Linked DNA regions of Pelodiscus sinensis. The protein of the gene in region 1 interacts with the protein of each later gene in a biochemical or structural test. Links are inferred from orthologs where the notes say so. Each region holds a gene or a part of one and is shown on either strand. Other genes may lie near its edges. The genes, in order: FGA, FAM20C and PLAT.

Region 1 (10,199 bases):
CAATAACAACAACAGTAACAACAGCAATAACATGATATTGGTGGTTGAAAGAGGAAATAAACAGAATAAGATTTTATATAATCCGGAAAGAGGAAAAAGTCCTTGTTCACTAACTAATTCTACATGAAAATGTCATAAAGTTTTTTGACCATGCATACTAATCTTTGCTCAGAAAAGTGGGCATGGCAATATTTTTATTTCTCTAAGAGATGGGACAGTTTTTCTGAGAGGTATCAAGTGGCACTGGTCTCCTTTGAACACATTACCAATTATCAAAGTAGAATAAAAATATATTGTCAGAGATGGCAAAGATTTTAGCTTCCAGAGCCAGCTCCTCAACTAGTGTCAACTGGGGTAAAGTCTTTAAAATCAACAGACTAATGCTGAATTTACACCAGCTAAGGATCTGCCACATATATATCTTTAAGCTAATGAGCAAAAAAAAAAAGTTCCTAACTATGCTTCATAGGCTTTTAAATATTGATTTGACATACAACTACATGAAAGAATGTAATGGCTCCAAGTTCACTCAGACTATTAAACCAGATCACCCCACACACTCTGATTTCTTCAAAAAGAATAATAAGGAAATATGTATATAAGAATTTACCATAGTAATATAGGCGGAATCTTAAACTAGCCAACAAGAGTGTTCAATTAGCATTGACGAAGTGGATCTGATCAAGTGGGTCTTTGCCCACGAAAGCTTATGCTCCAATACATCTGTTAGTCTATAAGGTGCCACAGGACTTCTTGTTGTTCAATTAGCATTGTTGGGAGTTAAGGCTACCACTCTCTTTATTGAAAAAACAATAACTCCTGAGCTCCCTTTCAGCCTGATTATGTTGCCACTGAAATCAATTGCAACATTCTTGTTCTATGCATATGTACTTTAGCAAGGATGGGACCAAATTCTGCCTCATTTACACCCAGAGAATCTCAATGACAGGAACTGGAATCCAGGGATGTAACTGAGAGTAGAATCTGGCTAATAATATCTAAAATCCCACACTGTTTGGCAACCTTTCTATCTAGGTGCAGTGGAATGGGTTAAAGACTTACAATCTCACCTCTGAATCTACTGCTTATTGGTCATTTAGCCTCTTTGCCTTGACAGATACTTTAAGCAAAATTCATCTCAAGTGCTTCTTGAGGAACCAGACAGACAATAAAATGCAGAAGAGACTCAAGAGGGAAACGCCGGTGATGAAGTGGTGAGACTTGTGTTCATGTGTACGTGTGTGAATTTTTCAAGCTACCTCATAACCAAAGAGAATTTTGTCAGTTTGCTGTGTGACTGTTCATTCAATAAAAATGCCCCTTTTTAAAAAGAGAAAGCCAAACTATCAAAAGAATCAAATAAAGTAAAATCATACCCAGGCTATGCTGAGGCACAGCCACATGCACAAGATCCTCAGCGGTATCATCTTCAGTGGCAGGGTGAGGAGGAGTCTGACAGAAAGGATACGTTCCACTTGTTTTTTTTGCTTCATTTTAAACCTTCATGGATAGCTTAGATTAATCATTATGTTCCCTTCTGTTTGCAGAGTTACATGCAACCCACCCCCAGTTGGTTACCTGAGGCCTCTTGCACAAGCGCCTGAGTTTGTTTGCTCTAGATAAATTTGTGCAATGCCAGTCGGGGGTGGAAGTGGAGGGAGTGGGAGGAAGGAACACACATTCCAGGAAAGTCTACAGCTTTAGTTTCTGATAACTAAATTTTGGAATAACATGCATGTAAAAGATCCAATAATACTTAACCACTGGAAGATATCTATGTTGTAAATCTGGTATTTAAATAGCATGACTAAGCAGTCAAAAAATCACCAAATTGTTCCTACTTGTATGATCACACTCCATGGACATCAAGTCAGAGAGACTACTTAGTGCAGTAAAAGAAGCAAGATCATAGTCTAATAATTGTTAATTCAAGAACTATATGGTCATCAAAATAAACCAGTTACTGAGAGATATTTTTATGGAAGACCCATGCTCAGCTCTGCCAATTTCATGATTCTGTGTCAGTCTCAGACAACATTCACTCTGAAGTCAAATAAAGCCAGAAGTCATCTCCTATAGGGCAGACCCAACAAAGAAAGCAACAGAACACCACTAGCCATTATCTACAACCCCCAACTAAAACTTCTCCTTCACATCATCAATAAACTACAACCTATCAGAGATGATGATCCCTCACTCTCACAGACGTTGGGAGGTTGGCCAGTCCTCACTTACAGACAGCCCCCCGAGCAGAGGCAAATATTCACCAACTTCACACCCCACAACAGAAACACTAATCTAGGAACCTATCCCTGAAACAAACCCCATTGCCAATTCTATCCACACATTTATCCTAGTGACACCATCAGAAAACCTAACAACATCAGCTATACCATCAAAGGCTCATTCACGTGCATATCTACTAATGTGATATATGCCATCATGTGCCAACAATGCCATGTATATTGGACAAACCAGACAGTCTCTACAGATGTTAAAGAGTGCTATTCACACATTTTTATAATTGAACTGTGTTTGGTTAGTATGAAATACATTTGTCCCAGGGTTTATGTTCTTTGGACACTAAAATATAATTAAAAATTAAAAAGAAAAGAAAACTTCAGTATGAAATGCTTTACATGGTTTTCAACTTGCACTAGTAGATGTAAGAAATATGACTGAGTAAATCTTCCTTGAGTAAGCATCCCGTGTCCTGTTTTCCACTTTATTCCTTTGAAATAAACATTGATTTATAAACATCAATTGTACAGCAGCTTGGTGCCTCTACATAGCTGGGAGCAGAAACAGAGGATAAAGCTGTTTTCTAATGACACTTGCTTGTATGTAGACCATGCACTTTAAGGTCCAGGCACTTCTAAAGGAAAATGTGAAGAACAGAAAATATAAGAACAGTCCTATATTATGAGATAGGATTTGGTGGTAGTAGGGTTATTTCTCTCAAGTCATTTTTTTTTCTTCTGGGGAAACAGGGATTGGTTTAGTCTTGTTTAATATCACTGATTTAATGGCAATATAGTGCATACTTTCATAATTTTAATGAAGTGAGTGCTTTAGCATAGGAGAAATATTTTTAGAATGAACACACCCTACCTAAAATCCTATGACATGGTGACAATTTCAATTATATCAATATGTTTGATCATACCATTATACAAGAAACTAGTTAAACGAATAACCTGGTAACACAAAAAGTTCTTTCAACATATCTTTTTATTCAAAATGTGTTAGTCTATGAAGGTTCCGTTGCATTATTAAAGAGCTTTGGTTGTCAGGCAAAAGAAAATATGTTTGTGATGGGTCAGGAGGGACACCCTTCAGATTGTCACCTGACGTGCTGAGACACCACTGAGTCTGTTTCCTCTGACAGCCTGGACACCCTATAACCCTCTTTTGTTGAGCTTAGCTCTTGGCCTGCTTCAGTTGAGACACAGGGACAGGGCAAAACCCCAACGCTGCAGACACAGTCTGAAAGCAGTACAGTATGGGTGCATCTACACTGCACCCTTAACTCAAAATGAACTACGCAATCTGAGCTACACACATTGCATAGCTTATTTCAAGTTAATTTCAAAATATCTTATTTTGTAATTTGGCGTTGTCTACACAATGCCAAATTTTGTAATAAACTACTATTCTGAAACATCCCTTAATCCTCATGAAATGAGGTTTTCAAGGACGTCAGAATAGTGAGCCCGTTAGATTTCAAAATAACACAGAATAGCTGTTTTGGGGATACCGGAGGTATCCTGAAATAGCGTCACAGTGTAGACGTACCCTGTGAGACCTTTCCACAGCAATCAAGTATACAGTCCCTCTGAGATCTAAACTAAATCTGTCTTAGGCTGTGTAGAGATATATACAGTGTAAGCTAATGACATTCGCCCTCTTTCTCAAGGTAAAGAGAGATATGCACAGGTTCCTTCCCCCTCCTCTGATAGTAATTATTTTCACTAGGTTAATTGCAGACGGAACAAAGTAGATAACTGAGCAAAATAAACAAACATGCAGGCTAAGATAAATTCAGTAAACAAACTAATTATATGTAAGATCTCACCCTAAATGTGGTTCAAATAGTCTTCCCTCACAGGCCAGGCACCCTTCTAGCCTGGGCCCAATCATTCCCTCAGTTCATACTTAGTTGTTTCCAACAGTTATCTTGGTTGAGGTAGCCAGGGAGGACTGAAAACTAAGATTACCTCACTCCCCACCCTTAAATAGGATTTAAGGTGGGAGTCCTTTGTTTCAAGTTTGACTCACACCCAGCTTCTCATGGAAAAGTACAGAAATCAATATGGGTTCCAGTATTTTGTAGGCAGTATTCCAGCAGGCAGCCTGGCTCTTACTACATTTAAACTGCAGAGCTGCAGGGTGAGTAGTTCTGGGACCTGGCGCAAGCCGGGACTGCTTCAGTCCCAGCTCATGCTGAGTCCAGACTGCTGCAACTCTGCCTTTCAAATGTAGTGAGAGCTGCTTGGATCCGACGCGAGCAAGGACTACTTCAGTCCTGGCTTGCACCGGATCCCGTGCTGCACCTCTGTGGCTCTTACTATATTTAAAAGGCAGAGCTGCAGGGCCACTGTGCCTCTGCTTCCCCACCTCTGCCCCCGCCCCTCCCCGCACTGCAGAGACAGTGCTAGGGGAAACCGGCTTTTAAGCCAGATCTCACCAGTACTGGCTCCTGCTCCCTCCCAGATATAGAGGCAGCAAGGGGGGGAGGGATGCAAGTAGCCTAGGCTTATTGGGTAGTTGACTATTCTACTACTCTTTTATATCCCTATCCTAGGCTATTTATTCCAGTGCTTAACCACCCTGAAGATTAGGAAGTTTTTCCTAATGTCCAATCTATACCTCCCTTGCTGCAATTTAAGACCATTGCTTCTTGTCCTATTATCAGACACTGAGGAGACTAATTTTTCTCTTTGTAACATCCTTTTAGGAACTTGAAAGATTCTATCATGTGCCCTCTCAGTCCTCTCTTTTCCAAACTGAACAAATCCTGTCCTTTCAGTCTTCCCTCATAGGTCATGTTTTCTAGACCTTTAATTATTTTTGTTGATCTTCTCTGGACCTTCTCCAGTTTCTCCACATCTTTCCTGAAATGTGGTGCCCAGAACTTGACACAATACTCCAGATGAGGCTTAGTCAGCACAGAGTAGAGCGGAAGAATGACTTCTCATATCCTGCTTACAATACTTCCATTACATGTCTCTGCAGCCATTCTTCATGATCTGACTCTCATGTTCCAGAAAGCTCTTTTACAGTTCATTGTCTCTTGCTGATGAGCCATCAGCACTATGACCTCTTTCATTGTTGTACCTGAAGCGTCAGCAGTGCGTAACACCCAAAGCAGTAAATATGAAATTACAGATACCCAGGTCAATATTCCTAACTTAATCTACAAAAATGATACATATGTACAAATGGGGATAATCAGTAAATTATAGCCTTTCCAATAACATTTTACACAAGCCATCTTGCATTCAGCATATCTGAGTTATGATATATCTGAGTTATGGCATATTCATATCATATGCATATTTCATATGCTTTTACTGGTTCACCTTTCTTTACTTTTTTTTTAGGGCTCTGAAATCTTATAGACTTCTGTTATTAAAATCTGGTCCATGTGGAGGTTGCTAAAGAATTAATAAGGATGGTTCTTCAGTTCACATGAAATTGTATATTGATCAGAGACATGAGCATACTTTAAATACTGGCAGAGTTTATAGATTCTGATGGTGAACAACTGTGCTTGTGGTATTTATAAACTTCATTGGCTGAACCTCCCTACTGGATTAAAGAACAGGCTATGTCTCAGGCTATGTCTACACTCCTGGGGGACGGGAGGGAGGGTTCGGAAAAAGGTATGCAAATTGCAAACCGCAATTTGCATACATTTTTCCGATTCTTTTTTCGGAAGAGGCTTTTCCAGCATTTGGCCCCGTGTAGATGGGGCCAAATGTCTGAAAAAACTCCTTTTTCAGAAGAGCCCGTGTTCCTCATAAAATGAGGAATACAGAGCCTCCAAAAGAGCACGTCTGCTCTTCTGAAATTTTTTTTGGAAGAGCCGACGCATTCCCTGGATGCAGCAGATTTTTTTCTCCATAGCATAGACATAGCCTCAGAGGCAGGCTGAGCCCAGGAATGAGGTTGATTCTGGAGGGAAGTTTGAGTGAGCACTGAGGGGTAGGACTCACAGGCAAAGGAGAGTGGGGAGGGGACATTGCAGGGGCCAGAAGATGTGAGTTGAGGGCTGTGGGAGAAGAGCTGCAAGAAAACTGGAGAATTGCCAACGTTATGAAGTTCTTGAAACAGAGGCATAGGAATTGCACCAGAAAGACTGTTGACCATTGGTAGGCATCTTGGACATGGTGACCCTGGAGTGGAGGGCTGAATGGTTGCCACATTTTAACCTGCTTTACTTCAGGTTGAAATTTGTCTGATACACTATGTCTGGAAGCAGACCTAGTGTTGGACTCCAAGAAGGACAACACCCTTTGCCTGGGTTAGTGAAGTGATCATCAAGCTGATCCATGGTGAAGAAAATGTGCAAAACAAATCCCTGTTGTCTTTCTTTCTGTTTGATTTATTATTTTTAAATTAATTGGGTCCTAATGCTACATCTGGTAAAATTATCTATTGAAGTGTAGTCTGTAGATAAGAGTAATATGATTAAATAGTCTTTTATAGCTTCAGCAGTGAATGTGTAAAATGATCCTTAAACTGGAGTTTCATAAATTTCAGGTCAGTCTATAATGATTGTATTGGCAGATTACTTCAGAAAAATATATGTAAGGATCCTCATGCATAAACATGACATCACATATAAATAGACTCCTTAGGCCTAGATCTGTAAAGGCATTTTGGCATTATTGTGCTTGGTGTTGCAACATCTAACTGATTAAGGACCTAAACCATATTTTCAAAACAATATAGGCACTTAGAGATGCAAATCCCACAGACTAAAAATCGGATTTTGGCCCCTAAATCCATTTTGAAAATGAGAGTTAGGCTGTGAAATGAATGAGGTATTGCAATGCTGGGCACAGCAATTCTAAAATACCATTAAAATTATGGACCTTATCTTCTAACTTCAGCATGATATGATTAATGGTGCACTCTCACTTTGAATCCTCTTCAGTTTTGTTCCTTCTGTCTCAGAAGTAACATAACAACACTAGAATAGAAAAGACATAGAGAAAAGCAAAATAGTTAAAGCCAGGAAAGAAAACACTAAAAGGATTTTGACAATTTGATGTCAAGAACTGATAAATAGAGGCCTTATCCAAAATCCATTGAGGTCCATGGAGTCTCCAAGGCAATATCTAGACTACATGCCTCTTTTGAAAAAGAGCATCTAGACTGCAACCACTTCTTTAGAAAAAGCGAGCTGCTTTTTCGAAAGAGAGCACCCAGGCAGTCTGGATGCTCTCTTTTGAAAAAGCTCTGTTTGCATTCAATAATGCCTTTTTTCAAAAGAGCACTTTTGAAAAAAGGTGTTATTCCTCATAAAATGAGGTTTACCACAGTTGAAAAAACCACCGCATTCTTTCAATTTAATTTCGAAATAACACACCGGCAGTCTAGACGCAGGGGAAGTTTTTTAGAAAAAAAGGCCACTCTTTCTGAAAAAACCCTGTAGTCTAGACACACCCCAATTGTCTTCAGTGAGGTCTGGATTCGGCTCAGAGACCACAATACAGAGAAAAATTCATAAAAATACACAAAATAAAACTTATGTGCAAAGATCTCTAAGGCTGCAAAACAAAGCACTCAATAATTTTTAGAGAAACATCATTCAGATAGCCTGTGCAGTCTTCATTTGGCGGCTCCTTTGTGAGTTTGCATTAAGATATAGTCTTTAACTATCTGATCACATGCTATTTGCCCCCTCCCCTCCTCCTCTTGCAGCATGCCAGCCTCATTCGGTATGCAGAACTGACAGGGCTCAAGAGCTCATATTTGATATTTTTTTATCCTCATCATTCAGTGCATGGCTCTGCTCTTTTTTATAGCACACTTTTCAAATCCTCATGGGCTTTCTTGTGGGACTCATCCGTACAGTAAATGAGTGCTTCAAAAACTTAAAGGCAACCGCAATTTGCGTATCTTTTTCTGCTTTTCTTCCGAAAGAGGCTTTTCCGACATATGGCCTGTCTACATGGGGCCAAATGTCAGGAAAAAACCCTCTTTCAGAACATCCCTTCTTCCCCGTAAAACGAGGTTTGCTGAAAAAATGCTTCTGCTTCTCCAAAATGCTTTTTAGAAAAGCAGATGCATTCCTTGGGCACGGCAGCTGTTCCAGGATACCTCCGGTACCCTGGAAAAGCTCTGTAGTATAACATACCCTAAGTCAGAGATGAGGACCTAGAGACATTTAAGCCCCGGCTTGATGAAGCCCTGTCTGGGGAGATTTATTTGGGATTGGCCCTGCTTTTATCAGGGGGTTAACTCGATGATCTCCTGAGGTCTTCCAACCCTACAATTCTATGACTCTCTGATTCTAAGGCACAGGCTCTTAAAGCCACAAAGATATGCAGATGCCTCCAGGGTTCTCTGGGAGTCTAAGTTGAGCATTTACATGCCACTGATATTTTCAAAACCACTTTTCAGTTGTTGCCCAAGTCTGCAGGGCCCTGGGTGGCTCAGATGTTGAAGTGAAGTTCCCAAAACCACCTAAGCACAGACACCATCCCACAGTATCCATAGCTCTGGCAGCCCCAAAGCAAGTCTTAAACTAGTGATCCCACTGCATATCTCACTAGCAGGGTCAGATCCCAAAAGCATACTCAGAGCACAACTAAGACCTAATAGAGAAGTCACAGAAGACAGTTAGCAGCCAGGAATGGTTTGAGTGTGTGTATGTGCGTGCGTGTATGCGTGTGTGGGGGGGTGTCTTAGGCACTCTAGTGGCTAGGGCAGTCACTGGGATGTGGAGGACCCCAGTTCTCCCTCCCAAGTGAGTGCCCTAATCAGCAGAGTGTTTGTTATTCTGCCGTTGGTCTCTGTCAGTCTCTCTTATTGTGAACCAGTTCTGCTTTGTATATTAAGTTAAATGTGATTTGGCCAGGAGAAAATGAGACTGCTTCTACAGCTAGCAGTTAGGACACTCCCCTAGGATATAGATTTAAGTCCCTGTTCCAAATCAAGGCAGAATATGGATTTAATTAAACTCAGGTCTTCACAGCCAAGGCCGATACAAGGGCTGGGCAAGCGAGACACTTGCCCCAAGTGCATCACAATCAGGGGCGCAAAGATGCAGTAAGCATAAAATAATAAGCTGTAAAAGTAAAGAGCTCTGCAAAAGTAAAGTGTGCTAACCTAAGGAGTGGGAAAGCATAATAATATTTGCCGTGGGTGCAAAAATACCTAATTATGGCGCTGTTCACAGCCCACCTGGGCTTGTCTACTGGTCTATTACTGAGGCAGGCTGGCTCTCCTGTCTGGGTTTCAGGCATGGGTTACGTAAGAGGCTGATCTATCTAGGCAACTAACTCAAGGGGTATGTCTACACTGTAGAGGTTTTTTTCAGAAAAACAGCCGGGTTTTTTTTTAAAAAAACTTCACTTATGTCCACACTGCAATCACGTTCTTTTGAAAAAAAAAAATGAAAAGAACAGAGGTGTTTTTCAAACATTGGTAATCCTCTTTCTACGAGGAAGAAGCCTTTTTGCAAAAGAGCTCTTTTGGAAAAAGGCGTGTGTGGACGGGGAAGAGGGAGTTCTTTCGAAAGAAGAAGGAAGAGGAAAAAGCACAAGTGCCCTGGTGGCCACTCTATCCATAGTAATCACAGCTTAAATGTGAGATAGTATCCATTCAGTGTAGACATTCTCTTTCGGAAGAAATTTTTTTGGAAGATCTCTTCCGGAAAAGCTTCTTCCGAAAGAAGCCAGCAGTCTAGATATAGCCAAGGAGACAAGATGGAAATCCTGAGCAGAAGGTAATGACTCCCTCTGGCCTAGCACTCAGGTACCAAAGGCTCAAACCAATGGGAGTTAGGCACCTAAATATCTTTTTGGATCTGGGTCTATGGCTTAGGCCTTGCTTCTTTCCTCTGCATTTCACTCCTGGCTAACACAGGAGGCTTTCTACTTAGTTTTCTAGCTTCAGAGGATCCTTTCCTAAGGAATCTACTGCTCCCATGCCCTATATGTAGAGTGCGGGTGCCTAGCTCTGAG
Region 2 (11,044 bases), on another chromosome or scaffold:
CACCATGAAACTGGCAAAGTATCTTTATAAACCCTCTTTCATATTTAACAAGGAAAATAAATGCAGACTTGAATGTAGCCAGGAAGCAATGCTTTAGGAACATCAGATAGAAGTAATGGGAAATAGTCATTAATATTAAAACAGCAATGAGGACTTGAATAAGTAAATAGTCATAAAAATATGTATCTGAACCTACCAACACTGGTTATCTTCTGGGAGACCAGGTCTTGTAGCAAAGCCTCAATTACAGGATTGTGTCTGGAATATAACTCATAGCGATTAATACCAATGTGGAATTTTAACCAGTTTGGGTAGGAATCTACAGATGTTTCTCCAGTGGGTAAAAATTCCTCATCTTCATTACCTTCATTTTGCCTACCACAAAAGTAGAGAGAGAGAAGTATTAATATTTTTTCTGCTGGTTCTCCACAAAGCAACTTAAAAGAGGGCTTTGAAATGCAATGATATGAAAAGCAAACAATACAGATGTGAGAGAAGGCTTTCCGTTTGTCCCTGCTGTGGATTAAAGGCCTGCTTCCATTTCTAGAGAAGCCATTGGTAGCTTTGCTGTTGATCTCAATGGGAGCAGAATTGTGACCTAAATTATTAGTACTTGATCCAAAGACCACTAAAGTCAGTGGCAAAGCTCCCATTGACTGCAACAGACATTGGATCTGACCCTTATAAAATATAAAAAAATGTTGAACTCAGTGTTACATTGCATAGCACTGTTCTAAAACTCCAAAAAAGTTGATTTAATTCAAGGTAGCTGTGTACATTTTGTTTTATGGTTTTTTTTTAAATCCAGGGTACAATGTTCAGAAAACTCAGTCTTTAAGATTTATTTTAGAGTTGTCAAAAACAACTTAGACAATTTTGAAACAAAAATATAAATGTTCCCCACATCTTTATTTAACAATGAACAGATCCTGAAATTATTTGATAATTGTGATATTACATTCAGAATCTGTTTGTTTTATTATTCCTATGGGATCAAAAGGAAGTGGAATAACTTTTGACTACTTTCTAAATGGAAATTCTATTTCCCATGTATGCAAGAAAGTTTGCTTAGCTTTAAGCTATTGTTATAACAAAGAATTGTATGAATTAATGTAAACTGCTAAATTTGATTTTAATTATTTAAATCTTGTGGGCAGTAACTAGTAGAAACAAGTAGAACAGCAGTTGTATTGTAGATCACATTGCCATCACATGCCTTGATTGCAGGAGTCAATTGTATCTTTAGCCATTTCTGGAGTATATTCCCTACATTACTGACATATACTGATGACAGATTTTCCAGAGAAATTGGAAGTTTTCTAAGCTAGTGAGTTTTAAGTTTGATTTTAATTATGCTACATTAAGGGTCTTTGTGATTCATAGAAACTTGAGGTTGAAAATGAAAACATTTATACAACATCATTAAAGATTCAAATCCAGGCTGGCTGCTCTATCGCTTGACAGAGTTTTTGCATGGTACAATGAAGCTGTTTAAACATTACAGTGTCACTGTGTTTGAAAGAGGGTGCTGTTGTATTAGAGACAAGCCTTTTGATTTTTCATCCATTCAAGTTTCTAAGCAGTGGGGGCAGGCAATTCATAGATGAAACCAAATGCATTAAAAGTTAAGGATAGAAGCACTGGGCTTTAGAATGTCAAAAAATAATTCAGAGCAGAAAATGCTGTGTCAAAAGTCAGACCCTGAAGGTTGAAATCCCATTTATATCTGTATATTATGGACGGTTTTATGACCTTTGAAGTCAATCTCTCTGCTTCTGAGAGAAGTTAATATTTTACTGCTCTGTCTTGTGTTCTTTATTTTGTTGGCTTGGGGGAAAATAACAAGCCTAGTTTAAACATGTTATTTTGTTATTGTCTTGGTGACACCTGAATTATATCACGGAAGCTTTCATTTAATCTAACATAGCTCTTACTCCAGTCTTGTAAATGACTTGTTAGAACCTATATTCCTCTACCGACATAAACATATTAATTTTATTTCCAGCTACCGGCTTTGACATACCACCATTGACACATATAATCTCTTGTTTTCTATGTAATGATCTTTTTACTCTCTTCAGGGTTTTAATAAGAAACAGCGGTGCTTCTTAAACTATATGTGGTCATTTAAAAAACAACCACCACCAAAATCCAAGTCTTAACATACACATTGGCTACTATTTATAACAGCTGCTTATCTCACTTATAATTCTGCATTCAGGCAAGAGCTGTCATTTCCTTTTTTAACGCTGAAATGTAAAGTGAGCTGCAGTGCCTTTTCAAACCCGGTGTGCAAGCAGCAGCCACACTGTTTCCTGCAGACTGTATAATATTTTTAAATGTACTGTAATTAAGAAGAAGAACCCAGATCCACTGGTCCCACGCCAGTGGCTCCTGCATCCATCGCTTCGCTAGTTACCTCTCTCCAGACCCAGAGCAGTGTTGCCAGTCTTCAGGGGAATGCCACATGAGCATAACCCAAATCCCCTTGCTGCTGGGTCTGGGGAGAGAAACGTGCTCTCCGGGGGTGCTGTGTTTCGTCGCGGGCGCGGCCGGTGGCATGACTCCCCTTTGCTCTCAGTGACAGCCCGTTGGGGGCCCAGAGTGGAGGCTCACACCCTGCCTCCCCTCCCCCCGCCTGCCCTACTTACCAGTCCTGGTTCTCGGCCGCTTTCGGGTTAAATCGGATGTCGCTGTTGACATTGAACAAGACATCCTCCTCCGCCAGCTCCGGCGTGGCGATCTTGTACAGGGGCTGCTCGAAGAGAGCCGCCAGCTTGGAGTACCCCTTCCCCAGGGGCTGGGCGCCCGGGCTCCCATCTTGGATGAGCGGCTTGTGCCCCAGATCCTGGCTCCTGGCGCTTTGTTCCAGCCTCTTAAAAGCTTCGGCTTTCTCCGAGGCCGCGCCGAGCTTCTCCAGCGAGTGCGAGGTGAGGTTGGAGCCGGGGTCGCTGCTGAAATCCTGCAGGATCCGCAGCGTGTGCTTGTTAGGCCAGCCGGCTTCCGAGCCGCCCTTCGCTCGCGGCTTCCCCCAGCCCTGCGCCTCCTCGCTCGGGGGCTGAGCGCACGAGCAGCCCGCCTGGCCCTCGGTCCTGGCCGCTCGCTTCTCCAGCTTGGGGAGCAGATCGATCATGATGTGCATGGTGCAGGCGATCAAAAACACCATCAGGATCAGCACCCTGAATCTCCGCACTAAAATCATCTTCATTGTCAAGGGGGCTTCTAATAAATTATAAAGGGGGGGGAAGCAAAGGGGTGATTTAAATATTTAAAGGAGCCCTTTCACAGAAAAAGCTCGAGTCTCGATGTGTTTTGTCTTTTTTGCCCCCCTGCTCGGAGAACAAATCAACCCGGCAAGCGAAGAAAGTAAATATTCTGCAAGCGCTCGGTCCTCGTTCCTCTTGGTCGAGTCTCATCCAGGACTCGGCCAGACGAAAATCCCCACCGCACGGAGTCAAGGCTTTGCACATCAATGGGAACACAAAGCCAGCAGCAGTTCAGCGTCTAAACCCGTCTGCCCAATTGCCCCGGTCTTTTCCTTGAGGCTGATGATGACAGGGAGCACAAGGGGAAAGAAAAAGGGATGATTGAAGAGAAACCAACCTCTGAAGCTCTGATGGGGAAAAGGGGGGGGGCATTAAGATGGGGAATAAAAATTATAATAAAACCTGTTTAAAGAGAGAAAGGCGTTCAGCGGCAGCAAAAATCATCCATCATATTTCGAGGTGCTGGAAACGCTGCCCCCCATCCTTTGAAATTGACCAGTGATGCAGCCGTGGGACACACGCGCTCCTCCGCCAGACTGTTTAAAAACATGGGCTGGAAAATGCTTTTCTTAGCCTGTGTCCAGAGTCTTCATCCATCGCATCCAGCGCTGGGGAGAGATGAGTAGTCAACTAGGGTCCAACTCAGTGTGCTGGCTGGATCCAGGCTGGGGCTCCGCGGGGGTTTTTTTGGGAGGGGAGGGGAGAGTTGTTTTGGTTTGGCTTTTTGTTATTTTGTTTTGTTTTGGGGTTGCAAAACTGCCCGATGGCGCTACGGCAAGGTAAAGCACGCACCGAAGGAGAGAGAGAAGAGGAAAGAAACTAGCACAAAACAACAGCGGTTCTTCTTAGCGAGGGAGGTGCTGTCTTTGATCTCTGCGGGGTCGTACAGATCTGCCTTGCGAGAGAAAGGGAGAGGCAGAGAAAGAGGGAGAAAGGTCTTTGGCAGGTGCAGAGTGAAAACCCCTTTCAGCTACACTGACTGGTTGGACTAGTAGCGCTGCAACTCCAGCCTTTAGTGGGTGTGTTAAATATTATGAGCAAGCCATGGATCCAGACGTCATAGTTAAGAGATTGGCTAAATAAACGTTACAATGATAGTAACAGGAAAACCTCAGCCACAAGCTTTTCTTTCTTTCGGTCTCCCCTTTCCTCCCACCCCCTCCCCATTCTGCTGCAGCTCCAACTGGGGCAAGGAGAGGGCGTCTGTTTCTCAAAGGGTTTTTTTTGGGGGGGGGGGGGGTTGGAATCTATGCTAATAACATTGCAAAGTATTAGTACAGTCTGGCTGTCTAGGCTTAGGGACATGATTTCTGCTATGTCATTGTCTGGAGAGGAGAGATCATTTTCGGAAGCAAATCTACTGCTTTCCCTCCCCATGTCACCCGTGTATAACAAGGTCAAAACGTAAAACTCGGCTTCTCTTCCTTCTAAGAAACAGATGAATAATCTTGATTTTGAATCTGGATGCTGCCGACCGTAACAATCTTTAAAGGTGTTGCAGTGTAACAATCCACCCGTCTGGTTACATTAGCTGCACATGCTTACAATATAGCCGGATGAAAAAGGAGATTAGGCTGCCAATATTGTCCTCCAGCCAGGAGAGATTCTGAAAACTGACCCAGAGTTTCCAATCAGATAATTCAGAGGAGATGGAGAGTGGTTAAAGCACTGGATTGAGACTTGGGATCCCTTGATGGCTCTGCTGTGGATTTTGTTCATATCTTTTAATATGGAGATATACCATACCATCTCATAGAGCTGAAAAGGACCTTGAAAGGTCATGGAGTCCAGTCCCCTGCCCTCATAGTAGGACCAAGTACCAGCCCTGACAGATTTGCCTAAACAGCCCCCTCAAGGATTGAACTCACAACCCTGGCTTTAGCAGGCCAATTAGGACAAGTACTTTGATGCAGGCATTTAGATCCCATTAACATTAGGAGTTAGCTTAAGTTCGTGGGAGGATCTGGGTCTTCATTCTCTCTTTGCCTCTATTCTCCATGCATAAACTGGAAATAATCATATTCTTCTTGCCTTGTCTTGGGGGTAGGGGCTGTTTCTTAATCGGGGTTGAACAACAGGGCCTTGATATTAGTCGAAGGCTCCTGGTGATACTGAAAAGTAATGAATATAGTAATAAGTTAAAACCCATATCCCCCATTTATTGTCTTTACAAGGAACGCATAAAAGCAGTACCTACATATTTGGACCTGCAATGTGTGCTACAAATGCATCACACTCTGAACCCTCATTGTAAGACTGTTAAGCCGTCACGATATATTGCAGTCATGTTTTGTGCTTGCATTAAACTTACACCTGTGCTTTCACAACATGGCCACTTTTGTTTTCAAAAGTGGTAAATGACCCTGAAAAATGCAAGGCTATATAGGCCCTGATCCTGCAAGCTGTTCAAGGCAGGCATGCTGCTCTGCTTTTGCATCACCCTGTTGACGCCAGTGGGCTTGGAGTGAGGGCAGTGGTCTGGCCTCATGCACCCTCTTGCAGAACTGGAGTCGTCATTTGCATAGAACGTTTTTAATGCCTTGCTGCCACATCACCAGCTGTGCCGTGACAATTTCTCACTTTGCATGTGGAGTATGGAGCATAATGTTTGGTAGACAGTTCACCCCGTTGCTACAAAATGCGGGCAAGGGTAGATCGGTCTTTCAGAAAATCTTATTGAAGTCAAGAGTATTGAACTCAGGCTGGGAACTGGGCATTATCAGTTTTCAAAGAACAATACCTAAAGCCATGGTGTGTGTGTGTGGGGGGGGGGGGGGGGGAGTTGACACAGCGAGTACAATACAAACGGGATATACATTCTGGGTTACATCCTGCTGTGCTGTCCTCATTCAGGCAGAATTCCCACTGAGAGTTGGAATTCCTGAACTTTGCCACAGAGATGTTGGGCAAAGCACGTAGACCTCTCAATGCTTCATTTAGCCATCTGGGGACAAATAGTACTTACCTATCTCACAGGGATGTAATGGGGTTTAAATAACTGAATCCAGGTTATACCTCCTGGGATTTACTTTTAGATCTGCTAAGCCACAGTTCCACTGGCACTGCCCACGGCTTGCCTTAGGCTGCCCTCCACAAGCCCAGCTGGATCACATTATCTCCATGATATTCAGTGGAATCTGTCACCCTCAGACCATGATGGCAAATCATGTTTTGAAATGAGTATCTGGTGATTTGTAGCCCATGGTGTAAGTAAAGGCACTGGGGAGCAGGGGGAGGGCAGGAGCACGATGGCAGGAGAGTTAGGGTAACGGAGCTATCTCAGCCTCTGAATATGAATGTCCATACTTTGAAAGGTTTGTGTTTCTCGTGAGTGCAACCCTGCAGAGGATGGTGGGGCATGAAGATTCCCCTTCTCCCTTAGCTCTATCATGAGCTGCAACAGACTCTTCAGCACCATGGGCATCTCTAGTCTCTGCAGCCTGCAGGTGCCAGAATGCGACTCAAGGCACCAGTGCCCCAGAGGTGCTCCATTTGGGCTCCTCTTAGACAGCTCATCATCTCCCGCCATGGGTGTTTTGCTCTTCAGTGGAAAAGATTTTCAAGTGATCTGTTGCCACTTAGCGGTTTAGGGCCAGAACTCCTTTTATTTTAAATACTCACTGAGGTTTCCAGCAGTCCTCTGGTTTCAGTCTGATCTTGACAGGCCCAGCGTTCTCTGGAGTCATTAGTAAAAGAGAACTGTTTTAATTCTTTCATCACCTTTCAGTTACAGGCCCCGGTTCTGTAGTGAGTTATGTGAGATCCCACATGCTTGAAATTACACCCACGTGTAAGTGTTTGTTGACTCAGGTCCATCGAGATATCAATATTGTCACCAACATAAGCAGCCTCTGCTTTGAAGCTTTCTGATGCAACTTCCAGCAGGGTTGTATTTTACTAAATCCACTGCTAATTGCTTTAAGAGAGTTCCCACTATGGACAACAGTCTCTTCATCTTAGACTCCTAATTAAATGTGGGCGCTTTTAATGGGTCTGAATAAGAACAGAGAGGTGGGATTCTTTAAACACTATTCTTCAGGTCCTTTATGGTTGTAGCTTAGCCCTGCTACTGCTCATTCTGAGGTAGAGTAAAGGGAATGCTGTCCTCAGGAACAAGGAAATACCGATAGTTACTGCTTATCTCACTCACTTCTGTATGTCCTGGGCTGTTCTTATGAGGGAAGGAGGATATCCGTCGTCCCTGACATCATGCCTTTCTCAGCTTCATCTGACCTTTAGGGGACCTACTACTTCCTCTTGGTTCATGGCCCCATTCTACGTGCTGGACTACGCCTTCACCTTTTGGAGTCTATAGGCTCCGAGTGCACTCATTTCCCCTTTGAGTTGCTCTGTGCCTTTCGTGCTTAGATCTTTCATCTTTGGGATGACTCAGCAGGGCTGTCCAAAGGAGATCTTTAATTCGTATCTTTAGTCCATGGAATAAAATGGATAAAAAAGTCAAGGGTTTCTTGGTGTTCCCAGGCAATGATACTCAGAACCCTGTCTATCCAGAGAGGAACCCATCTCCTTTGTGTTACTCACAAGGCATTTGTCGATGTCATTCTCAAAAGACAACAGGGCGGCATCTGTGCTAATAGATGAACTATTGAGATAGTCTTTGCTCTAAGGCAGGGGTGGGGAACCTCAGGTTCATGGGCCAGATGACCCCTGGCTTGCTTGGATCTGGGCACGGAAGCTCAGAGCCCCCCCTGCATTGGGGAGTCAGTGCTAGCACTCCAACCTCCCTGCTTCCCACCATGGGGCTGGAGCACATAAAATATACTAGGTTGTGTCCCCCGCTCAGGCTCTGGTGTATGAGGGGAATGTGGGGAGTGTCTTCCTCCTCATTTGGGGACCACATCAGTGAGGGTTTTCTGTGTGCTGCCCTTGACTGATTTTTCTGTGGGTCAGCAGCCCCCAACCCAAGAAAGGTTCCCCACCCCTGCACTAAGGCAACTGCAAGAAAAGTGTCAAGAACAAATAAAACCTCTCTCCGCAGATCAGACCTGGTCAGCAGAAAACGTTTCTCCCAGTTGTTAAGAAAACTGGTTACACCCAAAGCCTTATCTGCAATGTTCCCTCTATTTTTTACCCATGTGTGGAATATATTTTGTTATGTGCACCAAGGTATGCACAGATGTGTATCACCAATAGAAACACATGCATCTGGCTGTGGGTGGCTAACGGTACTCTGTTAGTCAGCTGGGCAGCATTTCAGTCTCTCCTAGGTGGCCGCCCAAACGCCCAGCTTACAGAGAACACCACTTCTCAGTCTGATTCAATCCTTCCAAGAGAGCATGAAGATAACAGTCCACTATGATGGTGACCTATGTGATATCTTTGAAATACATAGTGTTACAAACAGGGATGTATTTTGCCACTGTGGGGGTTTCAGGGTGCGATCACCCCCTCTTGCTCCAAGAGGGGGGGTCAGCGAACCCTCGTGCCCCCTTTTTGTGCCTAGTTGGCCTCAGGGCCCCCAACGGGGAACTCCCGGTAATGGGTGCGATCACCCCCTCCCAGGAGGAAGGGGGGGTCAGCGAACCCGGCGACAGTCACCCGCCTATGCGGGGTGGGGCAGCCGGCCCCTGGTTCAGCGTTTCCCCTTGCGGGGTCGTGACTTACAACGGCTCGCCGCTCAAGCCGCGGGGAGTAGTATACTCCCTTCAGGGAGGGAGGGGGACCCGGTCCCGCCCTCTCTCCGGGTCCCAGCCCAGGGCCCTAGGCGCCGGGGCTTGCTAATGCCCCGACGCGGTGGACGAGGGAGCTAATCCCTCCAAAACTCGTCCACCCAAGGTCGCCAAAAGCGCCCTGCCCCGGACTCCTTCCTCCCCCCGGGCGGCGCCCGCCAATCGGGCCCGCCGCATTCACACCTACCCTGGTTCGGGGTCTCGTGGTGTCTCACTTCCCGATGTAGCCTCGGGGGATCGCTCTGTGGCGCTGTTCTGCCTCCGTGCGTCCCGCTCCTGTTGGGCGCGACGCAGTGGGGTACGCCCTCCGTCTGCCGATGGGCTGAGGGACCGCCAGGGGCAGTGGCTGTCCTGAAGACCCCGGGCCCAGCGCCGGGCTGGCAGCCGCGGGGTATGCTGCCCGGGCTCCGTCCTGCCTCCGGCTCGGCTCCTGTGCTCCCACCGGGAGCCTGCCTCCTTCTCCGCCGGCGGCCAGCCCTTTTGAGCTGGCCCGCCGTATCCGCCGCTCCCTGGGACCCCGCCCCTTCCGGGCACGCTGGCGTGCAGCGTCCCGCCGCCCAGCTGATCCGCCCCCACCGTCCGGGGACGCGGGGAAGGAGTCGGCACGGCGTAGCCGGCGCAGGCGCGGGGGGAGTTCCCCCGCCCGCCGCCGCCACCCGCTCGAGCTGGGGGAACACCGGAGAGCCGGTTCCCCGGCGCCAGTCTCCTGGGGACCGGGGTTCTGGCCGCCCTGCCCCCCGACCAGTGACAGGCTGTCACACCACCAACAGTCTTTAGTATATTTTTCTCTCTGCTGCTTGGTCATGTTTTTCATTTAGTGTCAAGAGTGTACATATGCTTATGAGATCAGATGGAAAACTCTTAAATATTGTCCACCTAAAGTTAATCAAAGTTAAACGCCTGACGCTAAGCGAACTTCTTGCAGCCAGTGATGTCATGCTTGTTGTACACAGTGCAAGGAACTCTAGCAACTTTGTAATAACTTTACCTTTGTGATGCATTTGCATGCACCATCTGTTCAAAGGAGACCATGATTATGGCACAGGTTGTGTGGGCAGTATCAGAAGTTTTCATAGCTAGTACCCTGCAAGAAGTTGTGCACAAATTATTCTCCTTTGGATCATCTATATCACAATCATTTATCTCTAGCAGATGGGCTGGATTCTTGGATGGGCCAAGCAGCCTTCTGCATTTGGACAATGACCAGAAATGTGGAATAAGAGGAAACTAATGCTGAACACAAAGATACGGGTCTACCAAACATGCATTGTGAGCACGCTGCACTGAGGTGAGAAGACATGGACCACCAACAGCAAATACAAGAAAAGTGAAAGCACCTTTCACACTCATGTTCTTCGCCACGTTCTAAACATCACATGGGAAACCAAAGTGCCTGACACCAAAGTAGTTCAGAAAGCAAAATTGCCAAGTCTGACCACTATTCTTAAATACAGGCCTCTCCACCAGGTTAGTCAATGCACTGGATGGATGATGGATGCATTCTGAAGGGTTTTGTATACAGAGAACTTCAAGATGTTCCAAGGTCAATGAGCCAACCTAGGTTTAGGTCACAAGCTGGAAAGAAGATGCAGCTAGAACAGGCCATGCTGAGGGGGCTGTATTGCACTGGGGAGGTAAAGAACTGAAGAGAGGTGGCTGAGAGGGAGGAAAGGAAAAGAGGAAGCTCAGCAGGTCTCAAGGACATGTCATGAGCTGGCTTCATCCTCTGGCTCCATGCCTGTAGCCTACATTGCATTACAGGGAGTAAGGACTGTTGTTTGCAAATTGATCTTTCTAGCTGCAGCATGGCACACGATAGCTGAACTGCTTTGGTGTTTATGCCTTTGTTGTTCAAGATGGATGGCAGTTGTTGATTGATAGATCCAACAAAACGGTTATCTACTAAATACACAGGACTGGCAAATAATGTGATCAGCAAATACTCTATGAGCTAAATGATGGCTTTTGGGCTGAGTAAGAGTCAGTCCCTAGCTGGGCCTGCCCAGGAGCAGATCAAATGGGGAATTGTGACTCTCTGGGTTACAGTTCTCTCCAGGTCTCTTTTCTTACTCCAAAATTATATCTTAG
Region 3 (10,823 bases), on another chromosome or scaffold:
GGTGGGTCTGAGCCCAAGCACAAATTAGCGCATGTTCCTGGGCTGTGCATTAAGGAGCCTTCCAGTTGCACAACCATCCTGCGCTGTTTCTCTCTAAATGCCGGACATGGGAATTTGGGCTTGGGGGTAGGGCTGTTGCCTCGAGGCAGAGGGAAAATCAAGTGCTGCTGTTAAATAATATTGGACAGAAATACTTTGACAAAGAACATAAGAACGGCCATAATGGGTCAGAGCAAAGGTCCATCTAGCCCAGTATCCTGTCTGCCGACAGTGGCCAATACCAGATGCCCCAGAGGGAAGGATCACAACAGGTAATCCTCACTTGATCCATCCTGTCACCCTTGTCACCCACTTCCAGAGAAAAAGAGGTTAGGGACACCATTCCTACCCATCCTGGCTAATAGCAATTGGTGGACCTAACCTCCATGAATCTATCTAGCTCTTTTTGAACCAGTTAAAGTTCTAGCCTTCACTGCATCCTCTGGCAAGTAGTTCCACAGGTTGACTGTGCGCTGAGAGAAGAAAAACTTCCTTTTGTTTGTTTTAAACCTGCTGCCTATTAATTTCATTTGGTGACCCCTAGTTCTTATATTGTGGGAATAAATAAATAACTTTTCCTGATTCACTTTTTTCCACACTAGTCAGGATTTTATAGACCTCTATCATATCCCCCCTTAGTCTCCTCTTTTCTAAGTAGAAAAGTACAAGTCTTTTTAATCTCTCTTCAGATGGGACCCGTTCCAAAGCCCAAATCATTTCTGTTGCCCTTTTCTGAACCTTTTCCAATGCCAAGATATCTTTTTTGAGATGAGGTGACCACATCTGTACACAATGATATTTTCTCTTATTCTCTATCCCTTTTTTCTACACTAGGCCAAATTTCAGAAAAGCCTCCTCTTTCGGAAGACCCCTTCTTCCTCATGGAAGGAGGAAGACAGGGCTTCTGAAAGTGTGCGTCTGCTATTCTACAGAAAAAAGCAGAAGAGCAGATGCGTTCCCTGGCCGCAGTCCCATAGTGTAGACGTAGCCCCACTGTGTAACTCTGCCCCTTCTTCTAACCAGGAAAAAACACTGAGGACTCTGAAGAGAGGAGAGTGCTGTCGGGACAGGTTAGGACCCCCAGAGTGCCAGGGATCTCCCAGAATGGGGTTGGCATGGTGACCTCTTACCTGGCATTGCAGAGTGGTGATGATGGCTGTCATCACCAAGTAGAGATATAGGACTTTCCCTTCCATTCTCTGGTTTTTTCAGCGTTGCCTTCAGATCTCAGAATCTAAAAAAACTAAACAGAAAAGCTGAGCAAGGAGCTGACAGTGTGAGCAGGGGTTAATATTGTCAGAGTGAAAAAGGGCTTTTACCCACACAGCTCCCATTAATTTCCAGAGGCCAGGAAGCTGGCAGGGAGTGGCAGTGTCCCTGAGTTGGCTCTGCAATTTGTTTGAGAGCCTCGGAGTCTTGCTATAATTTGGAAGGGCCCTGACAGTCTGGAACCGGACCCACTTCACACATTGGCAGTGGGTGAGAAGAGAAAGGAAAGGAGAGGGGTTTTCAGGGGTTGCAGATCTGGGAGGCAAAATAAAGAAATAAATTAAATAAGATGAAGCTGCATCACTGAAGGGTGCACATTAAGTACTAAGTTACTAAAGTTGCTGCTGCTCTCAGGTTATGAGATACCCCCTTTGTTTCTCCTGATCACTTTAAGCACTGCCACCTCACATAGGCAAATGGCAGAAACCAAGTTCCAGGGGTTGGCACTGAGCAGTGCCTGTCTGGCACTGAGCAGTGCCTGTCTGGCACTGCTGGGGGGATGACTTCACAAGAGGCAAGCCCAGTTTACTTCACAGCAGGCTGTGGGAATCCAAGGGTGTGCAGTGGCAGCAGACAAGGCTGGACTCCCACAAAAGAAATTGTGACTCCTGGATTTGGCTAATAAAACAGCATCTCTAGAGTCACCAAAAAGAGGCATCTGAAAGAGCAGGAGTCTCTAGTTGGAGTGTCTGCTCTGGGGCACAAGGGATACCTGTGCTGAGCAAGAACAGTCTGGAGGTCCCAAGTCTGTGTGAGAGCTTGCAGGTATTAGTACAGTTTTTGCATGGAATCAGAAGCGTGACTGCTCCCTCCCTAACCCACATACCCAAAGAATAATGCTGCCTGCTGGTGGATCATTAGCACAGGGTGAGGGGAATGCTGAAGAGCCTGCTGGGTATGCGTGAGGAGTATGGCCAGCATTAACAAATGTAAAGCAATAGAGCTGTTTCTCAGAATTGTAATCTCCACTGCCTGTGGACTTCATTTCCACTATCAGCCGTGCAGGGAGTGGAAAGTAGGTTGGTTGACTATAATGCTAGTTGTGGTCTGGCACTCCATCTCACTTGTTCCTTGACTCACTTTCCTATAGTCAAAACAGTCCCACATTCCCTTTCATCTCCCTCAGACAAAGCTCCATCCCACCCTTCTGAGAAATCTTTACTACTCGCAACAGTAACCTTGGGAACCACTCTGTTCCTCACGGTTCATTAGCTCATCAGATGTGACTGAGACAAGAGTGGACTTAGACCTCTGCCTGCCTCCATCTTTTCAAGTGAAGACGTTAATTTCTTTCTCTCCTTCCCAGTCCTCTTTCTTACCTGGTAGTGAACTCCTTGGCGCTTCCCTGACCGCTGCTCATTACAGCAGGAAAATCCAGGCCCTGACTCAGCTGTCTTGTGTGTTCCCTGCCTCCTTACCAAACAGCATTGCTCTGACCTCTCTAGCTCTACTCCCTCGTGGCTCCTCTGCCAAACCCCCTCCCCCAGCCTGTTCATAAACAAAAGAGCGACGGCCCGTTTGGCCTCTCTCCTTTATAGCAGAGAGGACCTAGAGCAGGGAATTCGATATTGTTATATCCTGTGTATTAAACTCTTGGAGACTGCTCTGAAAGGAGACTCTTCCATTTAAAAGCCCCAGAACTACTTAAAGTAAAAATTAAATATAACACAAATTCTGTCTTAATTAGTCAGTTTTTAATGTATCTAGTCTACTATACAGTCTAGTAGCATTGACCGGCAGCCCATAGCCTTGAATTTTCTTTTTACCAGATAGTGCTTCCTGTATCTCATAGATGTCCTCTGATTTCTTTGTTCCAATAACCCTTGCTATTCATTCCAGGCTAGCGCCTCTCTTATACACAGAGAGGAGTGCATAGTCCCTTAGCCGTAACTGTAGCAGGCCTGATGTCCAGTGTGCCAGAAGTCTCGAAACTGATGTTTTCCAGATATATGTAGTTAGTCTTACCCCTGGTCTTGGCTGTGCCTTACCCAGTCGGGGTGTTCTGAATGATAAGCCCTATCTAGGAAAGCACATGGATTTCTGAAGCTATGAGACTGTTTACATGGATAGAAGCAGAGACCTAGCAATAGTCCTTTTCACCTAGCTGCATCCCCAGATCCACGTACATGGATCCTGGTGCACATACCCGACAGAGCAGTTCGGGAGTTAGTGCTCTTCATGCGCATGATGTACATCATTCATTACCAATCTGAAAATAGTGTAGCAAAGGGATACTGCATTCTGCAGACGTGGCTACATCTCTGCAGATGCCTCAGAAACAAGAAACAAGAATAATCTGTCTGTCACTTGTTCAATGTGACTGATTTAAGCATCACTGCTCTCCTCAGGAGTAGGTAAATTAGTATCACTCCAATTCTGAAGGAGGGGAACATGAGGCTCAGGGAGGTGAAGTGACTCACCCAAGGGCACATCGGCAGTCAGAGGCAGAACAGAGATGAAAAGTCAGGAGTTCTGGTTCTGTGATTATCAGAACCCGTTGCCTTACTCTGAATTTGGAACCAGTTGCTGTTTGCCATTTGTGCTGACACGTCTCTAAGCTGATTTATCAGAAGGGCCTTAAAGCTCCCCTCCTGCATTCAGAAGTAATGCACTTCTTCTGTTTACTGCCTGCTGAGAGGAGTTGCAGTGCCCCAATCCAGTACTCAGCATTGTAGAGCCCAGTTTCTTACTGTTTCTTCCTGTCTGCTACCTTCCTAGCCAGGGCATTGATATGTAGATAATATCCCATTATCTTCATTGTCTATGAAATACACCATTCCCTTGACACCTCAGAAGTCTGATTTTTCCCCTTTGGAAATTGTCCTCAAGATTTTCTATAGCTGTGCTTGCATTTGGGAGGAGGAAGAAGCCTACAGAGCACACAGAGGCCCCTCTGTCACCCCTACTAAGACAAGAATCCTGAAGAGAAATGTGTGATCTGACCCTCTCATGAACCCCACAAAGGATAATTTCACAACTGGCACACTGGTCTTTTGTTGCTATTGGGGGTTTGTGAGCTCTGTTCTTTTTATTTATCACTATTCTTTTATTTTTCTCTGTGTAGGGGCCTCCTACCCACAAGCAGTTCGGTGCCAGGGCTGGAAGTCCTTTAGCTGCTCCATTTCCCCCTGACTTGGGTTAGCAGGCTTTCCAGAGAAAACAGGAAAGCACCATCTGTCCCCAACTTCACAGTTCTCCCCAGAGGCTACAAAGAAACAGCAAAGTTAGATTCCACATTCCGAAGCACCGCATATTGTGCTAATTAATTACAAAGTATTAATATCAGGAATGTGACGTTATTTATCCTTGCTCTATTCTTATAGCAGCACTAAGCCCTAGGGAGAGAGGGAAAGGATCTGCACAGACAAGTGGAGAGTAACACATACCTTCACTTCTCTTCTGTATTCTGCGGATGGGCTCCTTTCGGTGCAGCCTGGATGTGCTTTGAATACATCTAAGCTCTGATCTCTCTAAACAGCTCCAGTGTCCTTCTTAAAATGCCAGTCAAGGGGGTGGAGCCTATACAGGGGGTAGGGACTTTTTCACCCAGGGGAAAGGATACAGTGATGGCTATGGTGATGAGGTCAGGATAGGCTGGGCTAGCTTTTTCCAAAGATGAGGGGGAGGAAGTGTCTGATGAAGTCAACAAGCAGATCCTGGCTCTCATCCAGTCAGTATTATTCATGGTCCTGATCAGAAAGCAGTCAGTGACTCCAGGACTTTTCTTTTTGGTATCATTGCCTTTTCCTCTGAGCCCTTTGGAGTGTGAGCAACAAATCAGATAACAAGTGCCACTTACAAAGAAAACCTTCATTGTGGTTCCAAGAACAGGGGGACAGCATCGCTCACACCATGCCCCCAGAGTTACAAATGTTCATTATTTTCTCAGGCCACCAGCTTAACTGGTGCTGTGCAAACTGTAGAGAAAGAGCATGTCACGCCTTCAAGGAACGTCCCACGCTAAACAGGCAGATGATGTAGTTCAGGCGTGTAATGCGTCAGGAATCCGTCTCTGAGTGGTACCTAGTCACATCACTAGAAAAAGATAGTGGAACAAAATCTGACCTGGCAGCCATAGAGAGCACAGAACAGTGTAAGGGGAAGAGGACAGGGCAGGACATGGTATGAGGGGGTATGTCTACACTACAAAGTTAGTTCAAACTAACGGACGTTAGTTCGAACTTAATTCGAACTAACGGAGCGCTTAGTTCGAACTAGGTAAACCTCATTTTACGAGGATTAAGCCTAGTTCGAACTAGCTAGTTCGAATGAAGGGCTGTGTAGACCCTTAATTTGAACTAGTGGGAGGCTAGCCCTTCCCAGCTTGCCCTGGTGGCCACTCTGGCCAACACCAGGGAAACTCTATTGCCCCCCTCCCTGCCCCGGAGCCCTTAAAGGGCCACGGGCTGGCTACACAGTTTGTGCCAGTAGCAAGGCTGCCAGCACCCAGCCAGCAGACCCTGCACCTGCCACAACATGAGCCAGCCACCCGAGGACACCCAGCCCTCCACTGCTCCCCAGGACCAGCCTGGCGGGTCCCAGGAGCCTGCCCAGGGACGCAAGAGGCGGGCACCCGCTTGGTCAAGTGCAGAGATCGTGGACCTCATCGAGGTTTGGGGGGAAGCCTCCAATGTCCACGATCTCCGCACTAGCCACAGGAACGCGGCCGTCTACGGACGCATGGCTGCCAGTCTGGCCGCCAGGGGCCACCAGCACAGCCGGGAGCAGGTGCGCTGCAAGATCAAAGACCTGCGGCAGTCCTACTCCCGGGCCTGCCAGCCAGGGGCTGACCCGGGGGCCTGCCCCCACTTCCACGCCCTGGACCGCCTCCTGGGGGCTCATGCCGTCCCTGCCCCCCGGGACATGATAGACCCCGGGGCAAAGGGACCGCTCTAGGAGACGGAGGAGGAGGAGGAGGAGGGCTCTGAGAGCCAGGAGCCTGCCGCCAGCCTGCCCAAGACCCGGGACCCCCGAGGTACCCCACAGAGCCACTCGCCTGTGTCGTCCGAGGCCGGGGAGGCATCCACCTGTGAGTACCATCGTGCTCCCCTTATGTGTACGGGGGGCTGGGGCGAGAGGGAGCCCCGGGACCATGTGCCTGGGCCTTACCCACCACGGAGCAGCAGCTGGGGATCCTGCAGGGGCCCTGGCCTTGCAGAGGGGAGCTGGGTTTCACACACCTGGGCCCCTGGGGTAATTGACCGCTGGTCTTGTTGCACCACAGCCGCAGCACCTGGGCCTGCAGGGCGCACCACCCCGCCTGCAGCAGCTGCCCGTGACCGGGCCAGCAGGAGAGCCAGGAACCAGGAGGACTACCAGAGGCGGCACCTCCAGTTCCTGGAGCAACAGCTCCGTCTCCAGGACCACTGGGTCCAGGAGGACCTGAGGCTGCACCGGAGGAGTTTGGAGGCCCTGGAGGAGGAGGGCCGTGCCCTGCGAGGCCACCTCCAGAGCCTGCTGGACCGCTTCCCAATTCCTCCTGCTCCTGCTCTCCCTGCTCCCTCTGCTGCTCCCCCTGCTCCCCCTGCCCCCCAGCTCCCCCTGCTCCCCCAGCTCCCTCTCCTGCTCCCGCTCCTGCTTCTTCCACACCCTCCGTCCCTCCTGCCCCACCCTCCACAACCATTCCCCACCGATGCCCCCGGATCCTCAGTGTGGCGAGACGGGAGAGGCAGCCGGACTCCCACCCCTGAGCTTTCCTTTCCCTTCCTCCCTTCCCTCCCCTTCCAGCTCCCTCGTCCCAGGTTTCCCCCTCCCCTCTCCCACCCTCATTCCTCCCTCCCTCCACCCCAGTTATGTGAAATAAACAGACGTTTTTGGTTGAAAAACAGGTGTCTTTATTTTACAGTAGGTAGGAAGGGGAAAGGGGAAGGGGGGTAGGGTGGAAGAAGGCCCCAGTGGGGCATGCAAGGGAGAGGTCAGTTCTCCTCCTCCACCTGGAAGCTCTCCTACAGGGCTTCCCGGATCCGGACGGCCCCCCGCTGGGCTTCCCGGACGGCGGCGGTGCGGGGCTGACCATAGTGTCCAGCCATGCGGTCAGCCTCAGCCATCCATGCTGGCAGGAAAGCCTCCCCCTTTCGCTTACACAAATTGTGGAGCACACAACATGCTGCCACCACGGGAGGGATGTTGTGCTCGGCCAGATCCAGACGGGTGAGGAGGCATCAAAAGCGGGCTTTCAGTCGCCCGAAGGCCCCCTCCACCACGATGCGGGCCCTGGTCAGCCTGGCATTGAAGGCCTGGCGGGAGGGATTGAGGTGCCCCGTGTAGGGCTTCATCAGCCACGGCTGCAGTGGGTAGGCGGCATCCCCCACCAGGCACACGGGCATGTCCACGTCCCCGACCCTGATGTGGCGGTCGGGGAAGAAGGTCCCGTCCTGCAGCCGCTGGCACACGGAGGAGTTGCGGTACACCCGGGCATCGTGCGCTTTGCCGGACCAGCCCACATTAATGTCCGTGAACTGTCCCCGGTGGTCACACACGGCCTGCAGGATCACAGAGAAGTACCCCTTGCGGTTCACGTACCGGGACGCCTGATGTTCCGGGGCACGGATGGGGATGTGCGTCCCATCGATGGCCCCCCCGCAGTTGGGGAAACCGAGGGCACCGAATCCCCGGATGATGGCGTCCGGGTCGGCGAGGCGGACCACCCTGCGGAGCAGCACCCAGTTGATGGCCTTGACCACCTGCGGAGAGAGACAAAGCAAAGCGCCAATCAGTGGGGCGCCCGGGTGGCTGGGAGCGTTCGTGCCCTGGCAGTGCCCCGCGCCCCACTCCTGGAAGCAACCCCCCTGGTGGCGTGTAGTATGGCCGGGACAGACCGACCCCTCCGGTGTGGGGTGCGTTCGCCTCCTCCCGCCCCCCCTTTGTCCCTGGGGCAGCCCATCCCCTCCTCCCGCCCCCCCTTTGTCCCTGGGGCAGCCCATCCCCTCCTCGCAGCCTCCCTCCCCCTCCGGTGCGGTGGCCGACGAGTGCCATACCTGCATAAGCACCGCTCCGACGGTGGATCTCCCCACACCGAACTGGTTCCCGATGGATTGGTAGCTGTCCGGCGTGGAGAGCTTCCAGAGGGCAATGGCCACCCGCTTCTGGAGGGGGATGGCGGGCCTCATGCGAGTGTCCCTTCTGCGCAGGGCAGGGGTGAGCCACTCGCAGAGCTCCAGGAAGGTGTCCCTCCTCATCCTGAAGTTCTGGGTCCACTGTCGATCCTCCCAGCGCTCCAGGACGATGTGGTCCCACCAGTCGGTGCTGGTGTCCAGACGCCAGACGCGGCGGGGCACGCCTGTGCCGGGGCGCCACCGCGGCTCCTCCACGGCCCCCAGGGCGGCCAGGCGGAGGGGCGGGGGCTGACGTGCACCAGGAGGTGCCAGGCAGCCTCGAGCCATTGCTGGCAGGCTTGCAGCAGCAAGTCCAGAAAGTGCACCAGAAGGTGCAGGGCGAGCTGTGGCTCCATGTTGCCACCTGCGGCGGCGTCCCCGAAGGGAAGCACCGACACAGACGGGCACAGAGACCGACGCTTTGCTGTCCCTCGGTGAGGTTGGCAAGCAAGCAGGAAAAGCTGAGAACCGGCTGTCCAGGGGGGTCCCTTTAAGCTCGAGCCTAAGATAGCCTCAGACAGCAGCCACACAAAGCAACTACTGACCTGATGCCCTGCCAGAACCGGTTTCAGCTGCCCTTAAATGCCCCCCTGCATCCAATCAGTGAGGACGCGCTAGTTCAAATTAGCAAAACGCTAATTCGAACTAGTTTTTAGTTCTAGACGCGTTAGTTCGAATTAGCGCTGTAGTGTAGACGTACCCAGGGAGAACTGCAAGGAGGTGTAGTGTAGATAAAGGCCTCAACAAAATCCCCTAGTCCAAACACAGCCACTTCTTAGAATGTTGAATCTAGGTTTGAATGTTGCCATCTGAGGCCCTGTGCTGTGTATAATGTGCTCCTAGTATCTGACATGAGGGGCCCGGTGCACCCAACCTTCCTCCCTAGTAGTGCATATTATGCCCTCTCAAATGGCAGGTGCTTCTTGGGGCAGGGACTCTGTCTTACATTTCTGTGCAGGGCCATGCTGCTGCTGATGCTCTTAAGAGAAGCTACCTGATTTTAACAGCAGCAGAGGGCTGAGTTCTTATTGTCCACTTCCTTTGTTAATTGCGAGGGTGTAGGGGAGCCTGGACAGCCCTGCCTTGACAATAAACGGTGGTGTCTGCTTTGTCCACAGTGCGGATCCCTAAAAAGCAAAACTCAGGCCTGTCTCAAGTCTGGTGCATGTAGCACGCAGGCATGGTTTGGGAAGGAGAAGCTGTGCGAGGCAGGAATGTTTTGAATAAAAATGCACAGGGCTTGACAAGTGGCGGTGAGCCCCACTCGCAGCCGCGCAGTTTGGCACGCTGCGCATGCGCTGATCGTGCTGCGGCGCCGTGCCAGCTTAAAGTCTACTCGCCCCAGGCGAGTAGATTGACTAATCTGTCGAGCCTTGACAATGCAGATTAAGCAGGGTATACAAGACCACGTCAAAAACGCATGACAAGAAACCTTGTATAGGTACTCCTGTTTCTGATAAGCAAAAATTACAGGTGCAGCCGTGAAACTGTCGTCTACACACATGCAGCAACATCCTGAGTAGCAGGGTGTACCCCAAATAGGGTATTGGGCATTTTACATAACTTATACATCAGCAATTGGTAAATATTATTAGAACGACCAAGTCTCGCCTTGCTATAAAATGGGCTTAGTAAGAACAATCGATGGGAGGGAATGGGCAGGATGGACCCACAGGTCCTGCTCAATTTAGCTAGAAGTAAATAGGTCCTTCACGCTCGTGACCCAGTACGAGGCGTTCCAACATGTGGGAATCAAAGGAACCTCGAGCTCCTGCCTGGTATTGTAGATAGCAAACGGGTAAAGTGTAAGTGAACTAGGCTTTGTTGTTGTATTATAGTTGATCTTCTATTAATTGCTTTTGCGTTGTTTTGTGTTGTATTAATTGCTTTAGAATGTATAGTATTTAAAGTTTAAATTGGATAGTAATTGTTTTAAGGCTTGTAAAACTTAAACAACTGTATTAACTGCTTAAAGCTTGCAATAAATAGGAAAGTGGCTAAGGATCCCTAGAGTGTCCTGGTTTCCCTTGGCTCTAAAATAAATCAAACCACAGGACATAGGGTCTTTGTATACACTGTATCTTTCACACACACTCCTTTGCTTTTCTCCTTGCTCTCCACAGATTCTTGCTGCTTCCTCTGAGACCCTCCAGTGTCTTATTCTTCAGCCTTAGGCTTTGTCCACATGTTCTTGCAGCAGCGTGACCATGGCAAGTGTGCTGGAGAGAGCTCTCCCAACACTCCAGGCAAACCACCTCCACATGGCAAGTAGCTAACAGCACTGTAGCGTTGTCCAAACTGGTGCTTTACAATCTTGTAACTTACTGAGCTTGAGGTGGGGGAGGGGTGTTTTTCACACTCCTGATCGAGAAAGTTACAGCACAGTAACTTGCCATTGTAGACAAGCCTCTAATGTAGCTC

The links.
Region 2: of the proteins of FGA (region 1) and FAM20C, one has a biochemical effect on the other in vitro, tested with the Homo sapiens proteins (2 studies listed by IntAct). The link is inferred for Pelodiscus sinensis from reciprocal best matches to the Homo sapiens genes FGA and FAM20C.
Region 3: the proteins of FGA (region 1) and PLAT form a complex in vitro, tested with the Homo sapiens proteins (2 studies listed by BioGRID). The link is inferred for Pelodiscus sinensis from reciprocal best matches to the Homo sapiens genes FGA and PLAT.

Annotation. Positions count from the first base shown.
Region 1 is NC_134715.1:56,884,500-56,894,698, forward strand, and holds the start of FGA (fibrinogen alpha chain), read right to left. Parts: upstream 4,156-10,199; 5' UTR 4,141-4,155; coding exon 4,076-4,140; intron 1,501-4,075; coding exon 1,377-1,500; intron 1-1,376. UniProt on the Homo sapiens protein: Cleaved by the protease thrombin to yield monomers which, together with fibrinogen beta (FGB) and fibrinogen gamma (FGG), polymerize to form an insoluble fibrin matrix. Fibrin has a major function in hemostasis as one of the primary components of blood clots.
Region 2 is NC_134726.1:25,372,620-25,383,663, reverse strand, and holds the start of FAM20C (extracellular serine/threonine protein kinase FAM20C), read right to left. Parts: upstream 4,364-11,044; 5' UTR 3,209-4,363; coding exon 2,652-3,208; intron 376-2,651; coding exon 197-375; intron 1-196. UniProt on the Homo sapiens protein: Golgi serine/threonine protein kinase that phosphorylates secretory pathway proteins within Ser-x-Glu/pSer motifs and plays a key role in biomineralization of bones and teeth.
Region 3 is NW_027465860.1:425,912-436,734, reverse strand, and holds the start of PLAT (tissue-type plasminogen activator), read right to left. Parts: upstream 4,845-10,823; 5' UTR 4,695-4,844; intron 4,572-4,694; exon of another isoform or gene 2,628-4,571; intron 1,296-2,627; exon of another isoform or gene 1,283-1,295; 5' UTR 1,236-1,282; coding exon 1,170-1,235; intron 1-1,169. UniProt on the Homo sapiens protein: Converts the abundant, but inactive, zymogen plasminogen to plasmin by hydrolyzing a single Arg-Val bond in plasminogen.